3 linked regions of the Callithrix jacchus genome follow. The protein of the gene in region 2 interacts with the protein of the main gene of each other region in a pairwise test. Links are inferred from orthologs where the notes say so. Each region holds a gene or a part of one and is shown on either strand. Other genes may lie near its edges.

What was found. The genes of interacting proteins can lie anywhere in the genome.
Region 1: the proteins of EHHADH (region 2) and SSNA1 interact in binary tests that used the Homo sapiens proteins (3 or more experiments, as listed by UniProt). The two-hybrid records come from large-scale screens. The link is inferred for Callithrix jacchus from reciprocal best matches to the Homo sapiens genes EHHADH and SSNA1.
Region 3: the proteins of EHHADH (region 2) and MID1 interact in binary tests that used the Homo sapiens proteins (3 or more experiments, as listed by UniProt). The two-hybrid records come from large-scale screens. The link is inferred for Callithrix jacchus from reciprocal best matches to the Homo sapiens genes EHHADH and MID1.

Annotation. Positions count from the first base shown.
Region 1 is NC_133502.1:185,598,700-185,602,373, reverse strand, and holds SSNA1 (microtubule nucleation factor SSNA1), read right to left. Parts: upstream 2,193-3,674; 5' UTR 2,118-2,192; coding exon 2,066-2,117; intron 1,776-2,065; coding exon 1,576-1,775; intron 1,096-1,575; coding exon 988-1,095; 3' UTR 582-987; downstream 1-581. Other genes in the region: ANAPC2 (anaphase-promoting complex subunit 2), read left to right, coding at 2,333-2,452, 2,756-3,378. UniProt on the Homo sapiens protein: Microtubule-binding protein which stabilizes dynamic microtubules by slowing growth and shrinkage at both plus and minus ends and serves as a sensor of microtubule damage, protecting microtubules from the microtubule-severing enzyme SPAST.
Region 2 is NC_133516.1:14,207,669-14,211,316, forward strand, and holds part of EHHADH (peroxisomal bifunctional enzyme), read right to left. Parts: intron 2,466-3,648; coding exon 2,293-2,465; intron 1-2,292. UniProt on the Homo sapiens protein: Peroxisomal trifunctional enzyme possessing 2-enoyl-CoA hydratase, 3-hydroxyacyl-CoA dehydrogenase, and delta 3, delta 2-enoyl-CoA isomerase activities. Catalyzes two of the four reactions of the long chain fatty acids peroxisomal beta-oxidation pathway.
Region 3 is NC_133524.1:11,281,249-11,285,483, forward strand, and holds the start of MID1 (E3 ubiquitin-protein ligase Midline-1), read right to left. Parts: upstream 2,882-4,235; 5' UTR 2,639-2,881; intron 1-2,638. UniProt on the Homo sapiens protein: Has E3 ubiquitin ligase activity towards IGBP1, promoting its monoubiquitination, which results in deprotection of the catalytic subunit of protein phosphatase PP2A, and its subsequent degradation by polyubiquitination.

The sequences.
Region 1 (3,674 bases), on a different chromosome or scaffold from region 2:
ATCAACACGTGCTTCCCAGATCGGCCCAGTCCTTGGGCACTGCTTGGTTGCTGCAGGGACAAGACAGGGGGCCCTGGGGCACATGAAAGGATGGAAGTGGGCAGCACCTGGTGTGGCCAGGGAGAAGACAGCAGGCCCTGGCGGCAGTAGTGGTGTCCTCAGGCCAAGCAGAACTTGCAGCTGAAGAATCGGCAGGGGGTGTAAAGCCCCCCAGTCGTTGCTGAGAGAGACCTGGGCCTGAGGCAGGGGTGAAAATGCTTGGCATCCCCAGCTGTCTCTCTGGGCTGGGTCCTATGTTGGATGCCAAGGTGTGGCAGAGAACAGGACCAGTGAGCAGAGCTCCTGAGAGGAGGGGGGCCAGTCAGGGGAAGAATCGGCTGCCCTGCTGGGGAGGGTTAAGGGTGGGGCTGGCCTGGGCAGGGTGGGCACCCTCAGTGGTGTCCCTGAGGCTAGTAGGGCAATCACAGAGAGGCCACTCCAGACTCTGCTGCCTCCTCTCCCAAGGGGGAGCCTCAGGCTCTGGCTCTGCGGGTATCTGGCAGTCCCACGCTGTTAACACAGGCAAGCAGCAGGCTGGCACCGATCTTTACAAAGATAATCTTTATTGACAGTCACAGGCCACAGGGGTGAGCCCTGAGGTTTGGGTTCTGGGGTGGAGAACCCCTGTGCCTGCCCTGGCTGAAGAGGGACAAGGTAGGGGGACCCCCATGATGCTCAGACTCCAACCAGGGCCTCCCTGGCAGTCCAGGAGAGTGGGTACCTCAGAGACAGGCCCCTTGTAGAGCTGACTTGGAGCCCACCATTCCCATAGCCTGTGTGAGCAGAAAGCCAGGACCCACCCCCCCGGGTGGGCTGTGTCCTGGGCTTGTCACCGATGCCAGTGGAGGTTGAGAGAAGGCAGCTGCTGCCATGATGAAAGACGCGCTGAGGACGGACTTGCCTGGCTGAGCTGAGGGGCGCACGGAGGCAGGCCCGCCTGTGGTCCTGTCAGCTGTCCCTGCCACCGCTACTTTTCTGGTCTGAGGCTGTAGCCTTGGTCAGGTTCCCAGCTTCCCTCTTGAGGACACTAAGCAAAGTCTGGGAGCTCTCCAGGATCTGGGGCCAGAGAATTGAGAAAGAAGCTCGTCACTGTTCACCTATTGGGAAGGCCCTAAGGCCCAGCTGTCCTCACATTCAGGTGCTAGGATCTGGCCGTGGGTGCTGTAGCCAACAGATCCTGTGCTGGGGGAAGGGAGAAGCCCAAGGGGACTGGCGGACTGGCAGACGGGCTGACAGGCCCTCTTCCCTCCTGAAGCTGACCCAAAGCACTTCCTCCCCACCCTCAAAGCCAGACTAAGCTAGCACTGGCCCATGCTGGGTGCTCTGCCCAAGACCTAGCTCCTCACACTCTGAGCAGAAAGAACCACACGATTAGCGAGAACCAGATAAAGACCAGGACCCAGGATGCCCCAGGCCACGCTGCCCCAGCCCGATATGCCAGCAGGGCACAGATTGTCCACAGCTGGGAGGCCTAGCCAGTCCTGACGCCCTGCGTGGCTATCCCCCTGATGCTCCGCCTGGCCTCCCGAGCTCCACCTTGAGGTAGGCGGCCTCCGTCTCCGCGATGGTCCGGTCGAACTCGTTGCGAGAGGCAATCTTGCGTGCCAGGTTCTCATTGACGCGGGCCAGCTTTTCTGTGAGCTGCCTCACCTCATTCTGCAGCCGCTGCTTCTCGTCCTCCTCCTGCTGGATCTGCCGGCACAGATCCTCCCGCTTCTGGCACAGCTCCTCAATGCCTGTGGGGCCGGGACGGGCGGCGCTGTGGGCCCAGGGGAGGAGGGCGGCGGCGGAGGGCGGGCCTCCTTCCGCCCGAGGAAGCCAGAGTCGGGCACCACCCCAGAGCGCCCGGCGCGGGGCCTGCGAGCTAGCGAGGGCTCGGGCCGCGGACACCAAGCCCCCGGCACGGAGGGCTCTGCTCAAGCCGCGCGATGCCCGCAGCGAGGCGGGGCCAGGGGGCACCCCGATGCGAGCCGGGAACCCGGCCCTGCGCCCCTCCCGACCTCCCCGCCCCGGCTGCGCCGCTCACATTTGACCAGCTCGTTGTTGTAGTTCTGCAGCGCCGCGCCCTGCTGGGTCATGGTCAACGCCGCCCGGGGCCCCGCCGCCCCAACCGCCGCGGCAGCAGCACTACCCGCGCCTGCGCACGGCTTCCCGACGACGCGCCGAAGTAGCGCGTCATCGCTGCGCGCCTTGTGTCCGTCATCGCTGCGCGCCGCCCCCAGATGTGCGTCATCGCCGCGCGCCGCGCCGCGCCGAGCGGAGCAGAGCGGATCAAGGGGCAGGGGCGGTGCAGATGGCGGCGGCGGCAGCTGCGGCGGTGCAGGGGGGCAGCGACCCCCGGCCTGGACAGGAGTTGTTACTGGCTTGGAATACCGTGAGCACCGGCCTGGTGCCGCCGGCTGCGCTGGGGCTGGTGAGGCCTGGGAAGAGAGCGGCGGCCCCGCGCGGAGTTCCCGGGACCCTACGCGCTTTGGGGCGGCCACCCTCGAGTTCAAACGGCTCTGTTCGTCACCTGCCTCTGTCCTGTCCTGCCACCTTCTTCCACCGTTCCATTTCGTTCGGCTCCGCTGGCAGCCCTTCCCTAGTTTCGGCTAAACACCCGTGCACCGCGGACAAGGGGCATAGGAGTTTGCAGCCTCCCCTCCGCTTCTAACCTTCCCGCCTCTCCCCACCTCTACGTTGTGTTCCCCTCTTCTCATGGTTTTCTGCACTCCAGGTGTCTTCACGGACCAGCGGTGCAGTCCCGCCAAAGGAAGACGAGCTCCGGGCGGCGGTGGAGGTTCTGAGGGGCCACGGCCTGCACTCGGTCCTGGAGGAGTGGTTCGTAGAGGTGCTGCAGAACGATCTGCAGGCCAACATCTCCCCTGAGTTCTGGAATGCCATCTCCCAGCGCGAGAACTCTGCGGATGAGCCCCAGTGCCTTCTGCTGCTCCTTGATGCTTTTGGCCTGCTGGAGAGCCGCCTGGATCCCTACCTGCGGAGCCTAGAGCTGCTGGAGAAATGGACTCGCCTGGGCTTGCTGATGGGCACTGGTGCTCAGGGGCTGCGAGAAAAGGTCCACACTATGTTGCGCGGAGTCTTGTTCTTTAGCACCCCCAGAACCTTCCAAGAAATGATCCAGCGTCTGTATGGGCGCTTCTTGAGAGTCTATATGCAGAGTAAGAGGAAGGGAGAAGGGGGCACAGACCCGGAACTTGAGGGGGAGCTGGACAGCCGGTATGCCCGCCGCCGCTACTACCGACTCCTGCAGAGCCCGCTGTGTGCAGGGTGCGGCAGTGACAAGCAGCAGTGTTGGTGTCGCCAAGCTCTGGAGCAGTTCCACCAGCTCAGCCAGGTCTTGTGAGTACTCTATCCCGATGGCCATGCTCCTGCTCCTTCCGGTTCCCTGCTGCTACCCTGGGTCCAGCGGGCCTCTGCAGAAAGCTGGTGAGCTGTTCTGATAGCCAGGAACATGACACAGAGAGAGTCCCAGGGATTCCTGTGCAGTGTGTCCTGGACGCAGGCGTCTCTCTTCTGTCACTCACATCCAGTTCCATGGGGTCATGCTAAGGCTAAGGGCCCACGTGGCTTGTCTGCAGCAGCAAATTTCTTAGCAATTCCAAACTTCCTGGACTCTGCAGAATTCCACTGTGCTT
Region 2 (3,648 bases):
TGTCAGTCAAGAATTCTGTATCCAGCAAAACTATCCTTTGAAAATGAAGGTAAAATTAACACATTGGCAGATAAAGAAAAACTGATTTTGTTGTTAGTATATTTAGCCTGTAAGAAATACTTCAGGCTGTAAGAAAAAGACATCAGGCAGTAACTTGAATTCACATGAAGAAATAAAGAACACTGATAAAGAGTAACTACACGGGTAAATATAAAAGACAGGAATAATGTATTTTTCATTTTAAAATAATGAAAATCACAATAATGTGATTCTTCTTTTTCTTATGTGATTTAGGACCACTATGTAAAGCAATAATGATAAATCTATGTTAAGGGGCACATAATGTATAAAGATATAAATTGTGACAATAATAGCACAGTAGCATAAAGGGGCAAGGAATGAAGGCTATAGAGGAGCAAATTTTTTATATATTATTAAAATTCAGTTGGTATTAATCTGAACTAGACTGTCATAAATTAAGATGTTAATTGTAATCACCAAATTAACCACCACTAAGAAAATAACTAAAAATATATATAGTAAAAGAAATAAGAAAGTTAAAAGGGGACGCTTTTGCATTTAACACAAATGAAAGCAGTAATAAAGGAATCGAACAACAACAATGCACATACATACAAAAAACCAAAAAGCATAAAAAACAAATAGCAAAATGGCAGAAGTATGTTCTTCCTTATCAGTAATTTCATCAAATATAAGTGTATTAAGTTCTCTAATTAAAAGACAGAGGTTGGCAGAATAAAGAATATTTAACAATGGGTTAAATATTATAGTATAAAATTGGAGTATAAACTCAATACAATAAAAGCCCAAATGTTGTGTGTGTGTGTGTGTATGTGTGTGTTTAAGATGGAGTCTCTCTCTGTTGCCCAGGCTGGAGTGCAGGGGCATGATCTCAGCTCACCGCAACCTCTGCCTCCTGGGGTCAAGCGATTCTTCTTCCTCAGCCTCCAAAGTAGCTGGGACTACAGGTACACACCACTATGCCCAGCTAATTTTTGTATATTTTTTTAGAGATGTGGTTTCACCATATTGGCTAGGGTGGTCTCAAACTCCTGACCTCATGATCTGCCCACCTTAGCCTCCCAAAATGCCAGGATAACAGGCATGAGCCACTGAGCCCAGGCTGTAGTTTGTTTTAAAAGAAGGTTTTTCAAAGGAAAAGGAAACTGTAATTTAAAAATTACATACAAAACAGACTAGAATGAAATAGAATATTAATAGTGATTATTTCTGAACTGTGAGTTTATGATGATTTTAGTTTACATCTGCATATTTTCTTATGTTTTCTAGTTTAATAGAATGATATTACTTTTATCATTAGAAAAATATATTAATTACAAAAATACTACCATTATACATACTGTGATACAGAGTGGTATCACAGACCTCATCTGACATGTCTAATAGCCTAAATTAAACCTATTTCCAGAAATAAACATATTTACTAGTTTTGTGCTATTTTCCAATAGAAATTTGTCTTCTTAGGTACTGACAATTATAAGGGACCATGATACAGAAATCTTTGAGTTATCAAATAAGTATTTAAATGTATACTTAGAAGTGACAGCCAACATATTTAATACTTCATACTGCATGAGCACTGCATCAGTGAAAGCTGATATGGGTCATAGCACTGGAGAAGAGTCTTGGGGCTGTCTGTTGAGTCGGGAGTTCCCCTTTCATTGGTGGATCATAGAGGCCCTAGGGCTAAGGTGAAGGGAAGCAAGGAGACAGAGGGCTCAGAGTAGTAGGTGTTTACTAATGAGAATGGAAGTACAGCATTTTAACATAACAATTAGTACCACTGTATTGGTACATAAGAGCTGAAGTGGTTAACCAGTAAGCCAACCATTCAAAATTATCACCTTTGGGCCAGGTGCAATGGCTCATGCCTGTAATCCCAGCACTTTGGGAAGCCGAGGAGGGTGGTCATCTGAGGTCAGGAGTTTGAGACCAGCCTGGCCAACATGGTGAAACTCCATCTGTACTAAAAATACAAAAGTTAGCAGGGCATGGTAGCGTGCCCGTAGTCCCAGCTTCTCAGGAGGCTAAGGCAGGAGAATCACTTGAACTTGGGAGGTGGAGGTTGCAGTAAGCTGAGATCATACCACTGCACTCCAGCCTGGGAGACAGAGCGAGACTCTGTCTCAAAATAAATAAATCAATAAATAAATAAAATAAAAATCACCTCTGATACTTATAACTACATTTAGAGTTTGTCTTAAAGAAAAGCCCCACACACCAGCCACCATATAGAGCCTTGGTTGTTACCTCTGCATGGGCAATCCTATAGTGACAGCCCAGGGCCAGCTCTAGTCCTCCTCCTAAAGCCATGCCTTGGATTGCTGCCACCACGGGCTTCACATTTCTCTGTATTTCATCTACTACACTTCCCAGTGATAAGCCAAAGGTCCTAGGAGCGCTGAAGCCATGAATATCAGCACCTAAGGGCACAAAGACAAGGAGGAAACAGAGTTGAGAAATATCTAGGCATTGTTATATAATGATAAGTCACCTGATACTCCAAGTTTTTTAGTTTGTTTTATTTATTTCTTAATTTTTCTTTTAGAGTTCCTGGTAACTCCTAAGAAGTCTCAGCCTTCTTTGGGCCCTTACACTTCATACTGGGTTGAAAACAAGTATCTTGGAGAATACAGAATGCTATGAGAGGAAATCCTTAGATCTTTACCAGGAGTTCTGTAATTTTGTAAAATCTGTCTTCCCATATAATAAGTAGTAACACTATCTTTAAAAACATTAAAAATCTCAGAAAAGGGGAATAGGGATTCTCCTCCAAAGACCATTATTCTGAGACTGAGTCAGCCCCTCTCATTTTTATATGTGTGATACTGTTAATCAACCCTATTCACAGCAATTTAGCTCCATATCTTTGTTAAAAGCATCAGTCATTACAATATAAAGTATCAGGGTAACACATATGCATATTTGTGAGTTATGTTTAGTCAACCAGCTTAGAATTATATTTTTGTAATTGATTTTTATCTTCAATGAACATAATATTTATTACTTTTCTTGCTTATAAAAATAACATGTATTATGGCAAATTTGAAAAACACACAAAATTAAAAAGAACATGAAGATCACCCTAAATATCACCATACAGCCATAATTTAATATTTGGGGGAATTCTTAGTTTTTTCCCTATGGGCAGGTATTACCACCTGAGGTCTGTCTTCTGTCAGATGAGTAGCAGCATTAGATTCTCGCAAGAGTGTGAACCCTATTGTGAACTGTGCATGTGAGGGATCTAGGCTGCACTCTCCTTATGAGAATCTAATGCCTGATGATCTGAGGTGGAACAGTTTCATCCTGAAACTATCCCTGCACCTCCACCCTCCCAGGCCTGCACCCCTACCCCCTACCCCTGTCTATGGAAAAACTATCTTCCATGAAACCAGTCCCAGGTAACAAAAAGGTTGAGGACTGCTGATTTAGAGCATACTGTAGAATCATTTTTATATTTTCCTATTTTCACATAACATTACACCTAGTAAGCCTTTTCCTACAGCATTGTCTAGTCCTTGAAAACGCTAAGCTTGGTACAAGTTTTAAATATTAAAGTAATTATTTTATAAGGTAATTATTTTATATTTAGCCTATTCAGCT
Region 3 (4,235 bases), on a different chromosome or scaffold from region 2:
TTAACAGGATGAGCAAGGAGTTGCTAACACTTACTGAATGGGGAGGAACTAACCATTAAACCAGAAGTCAGCAAACTATGGCCTTTGGGCCAAAGTTGAGGGCCACCTTCAGGTTGTAAATAACCTTTCATTGGAGCACAGCCACATCCATTCATTTACACATTGTGGTTGCTTTCATGTAGACTTCAGTAGTTGCCATGGAGTCTATGGGCTACAAAGCCCAAAATATTTACTCTCTGGTCCTTCACAGAATAAATATTCTGACTCCTGAGTTAGATCAATATAGAAATGTTCATTTTCTCTATGAGATAATGTCAGCATTCTTGTCACTTCACTCATGAGGCAGTGGAGACTCTGAGAAGTAACATGATATCCATATCACACAGCTGACAGAGAGCCCAGAGTTGGAGCTTCATGACTCCAAAGGGTGCCCTTTCCAGACCACCTCACCTCTGGGCCCAGGGCTTTTCTCCTAGGCTCAGAATGGTGTGTGGATGTGGCTGCCAGCCTGTGGCCTAGGTAAGTTTGCCCATCTACACAACAACTTCCTACAATCCTCTCAGCCTGGAAGATCAAGGATAATTGTCATTCAGAACAGAATGTCCCACTGTTTCCACTCACACCTTATCAGCAATTGACTATAGCTATTTTTGGCCCTTGGTTTCTTGAAATTTTATTGTTTTCGTTTATGTTTCATGCTGGGGCATGTGTTTTATATAACTGATGACTAACATAGAAAGCAGATCATTTGCATTAAGGGAGCCTTGCAAATAATATGTAGACCTTAAGAGGTTTCTAGGGATAATTTTAGGACTTTTAGACTCAAATGCAATTGTTGGTTCTTTTCATGATTAAACAGAATGTTTTCTTTCATTTCGGCATTCAATATTGAACTCTTGGTGCTTTCTTTATTGTAGGAATAAAAGAAGCATGTGATTACAACTCAGGTTCCTCTTTATGGGCATTTGTGAATAGAAAACAGTTCCAAGATCCTCTTTGAATTAATAGAGGCATTTCCCAAATTATTTACAAAAGAATCCAGAGCCTTTTCATTAGGCCTATGTTAGAATCTAAGGAAGCAAAACAGCAATTGGGATTAATTTTACTATTGGCTAATGGATCACTTCCTGTTTCTCAGCTTGTTGATCTTCCTGTCCATACAGACAAATGATTTGCCTGGAGATTCATGCTGCTTTTGTCTGTTCAGCATCATTTCCTCTGAGGAACATCCTCTCCCCCATTTTAGGTGGTCTCAGGTGGGCCGTCAATCACAACACACTAGACCTAGCCAATCATATTGCCTCACCTCCCCAGACACAGTAATTGATCTAGGAGAAAGAATGTGACCCAGTCAGAGCAAATTCCCCCAAATGTTAAAGAAGTTGGGAGAGAGGCTTTCACACTAAGTGGTATCAGGCCAAGAGATGGAGGCAGAGTACCTGGATCCAGCCCTTCCTGAGGCTTTACCCACCCCTGTACTTCCCAAGGGTGTGATCCCCAAATTTCTTTTTCTGCTTAAGCTAACTCAAGCTGGACTTCTCACTCTAAATCCAAAATGTCTCACTAACATCACATGCTTCCAGGTTTTCTGAATGTCTCTCACAAACATGTGTCAGCAACTTCCAGAAGGCATAGGGCACTGAGTGTGGGAATCCATGGGTCCTTATCCTAGCTGCAATCTTAGAGCCCTTAGGTCATCCCTATGTCAGGATGGAGGGCTTTTGAAATGGAAAGCCTAACACACAGGCGGTGCAACCTGATATCTTGGCTATGTTTATGTCTTTTCTTATACACAAAAGTGCATTCTAGATTTGTTTTTTTAAGTTCCACATTTCTTTGTCCACTTTGTCCCTTCTTGGAGTAGAAGCGGGACAAATTCTTGTGCTGATGACACTTTTTCTTAGATGGAATCTCATTCTGCTGCCCAGGCCGGAGTGCAGTGGCGCGATCTCAGCTCACTGCAACCTCAGCCTCCCCAGGTCAAGTAATTCTCCTGCCTCAGCCTCCCGAGTAGTTGGGATTATAGGTACACACCACCATGCTTGCTAAATTATTATTATTATTTTTAGTAGAGATGGGGTTTCACCATTTTGCCCAGGCTGATCTCGAACTCCTGACCTCAGGTGATTTGCCCACCTTGGCCTCCCAAAATGCTAGGATTGCAGGCATGAGCCGCTGCATCCGGCGGCTGATGACACTTTATTGGCAATCTTGGGAAGGAAAAAAAGACCAGGCAGAAGTAGAAAATGGACCCCTAACATTTACATTGCTTGATGACTCCGCTGGCCAAAATCTGATGCCAGGACCCCTACCCTGCCGGTGGTTCCAAGCATCACCGAAGGAATCAGAAAGGAGAAATAAAGCCCACAGCACGCCACCATGTGGCTACAATATTACTCCTGCAGCGAAAATTTTTTTTCTCTCCTTTGTTTTCCACAGGGTGCTTTTCTAAACCTGTCCAAACTCCCTCTCACTAGTCACTTCAAGTGATACCTATGACTCAGAATTTCCTAAGATAAACTCTATAACCTCCCTCCTTTCCTCAGGAAAGGTACCAACTGAGGCCCACCCACACCAACCCAAACTCCGATCCAAGTATCTGAGAGCTGTCTTAACGCTGCTTAAACTGTGCACTTACATGTGTTTGCAGGTAGTGACAAATAAGCACTCTTCTTCACGGTTTAACTTGGCCTCCTCTGCTTCAGACAAAAGGGAACTGAAGTAAATTCTTAAGACGCACAAGGAAAGAAAGTTCTTTGTGCTGAAGGCAGTTCGCCAAGGTGCTAATTCCATCTTTGGTAGGTTTCTCCCAGGGCTGTGTTCCTCATCCAGGAATTTCCCTAAGCTTGATGGTTCACACGTCCAAATTCCAGCTTTGAATAAATAAACCAGTTAAAGTGCTCTGTTGCCTCAGGGATTAGCAGAGCAATTCATGAACTTCCATCTCCCCCAAGTGGCAATTATTGGGATCTTTCTGTTAGAGATTTTCTGACAGTTAAAATTTAGGTTATCGTTCTCCTCCCCACCAAAGTTGCTTAAGTCTTTTTTTTTTTTCAATTCTCACATTGAAGATTATGAAGTCCTCGTGTGGAGGTATGTTGGTAATGTCGAATTAATGGCTTCTGGGTCACAGGGTTGTAGATGGATAAGATGTAGTACCTGTTTTCAGAGTTCTAAGTAAAAGACTGATTTTTCAACCTGGTCTCTATTCTGAGGCTCCATCCTCAGAGAAGGTGGAAATAAGCAGCACCAATCACTAAATCCAGAAAGGACTCTCGGTGTGTGGCATCAAGGTAACCTAAGAACCAGTTAGCCTTGGTTGCAGAGAGATGAGAACTCAGCCAGCCACAGCGATAGTATCTACTCTGAAAAACAAGATACGGACTATGTGAGATTCTAAAAACAAAAAGCAGAAACTGTTGAGGAGAGAGCATATATCCATATGAAATAGCCAAGGAAAACTTTTCTAGCATAATAAGCTCACAAATTGATGTAAAATACATTTAGTGATTTTTGATGGATAGCATAAAGTACTTCACTTTGTCTATTATTATTATACTTTAAGTTCTGGGGTACATGTGCAGAATGTGCAGGCTTGTTACATAGCTATACACAGGCCACGGTGGTTTGCTGCACCCATCAACCCGTCATCTACATTAGGTATTTCTCCTAATGCTATCCCTCCCTTAGCCCCCTACCCACAACAGGCCCCAGTGTGTGATGTTCCCCTCCCTGTGTGCATATGTTCTCATTGTTCAACTCCTACTTATGAATGAGAACATGCAGCATTTGGTTTTCTGTTCTTGTGTCAGTTTGCTGAGAATGATGGTTTCCAGCTTCATCCATGTTCCTGCAAAGGATATGAACTCATCCTTTTTTATGACTGCATAGTATTCCATGGTGTATATGTGCCACATTTTCTTTATCATCTTGTTTTATAGAAAAGAAAGAAGTGGAATTTAGGAAAGTTCAGACTGAAGAGGCTTATCTTCACCTCATAAAAGGGAAGTTTCTTGCCTCCCTGCCCACAATGGAGTTAGTACTTAAGCTTATTTTACAGATCACAGTAAATTCCTCAGTTCACCACCTGCCATGCTCCACCCCCACCCCCTTTTTAAATTTAAGGCCAGGTTGTAGTCACTAAACCAGCTCTAAATTCCTACACACCAAACAGTCCTGCCAGTGCTAGATCCTGAATGGAAGTATTTGTCCTTCAGCCTCCTTCACTCAGATTT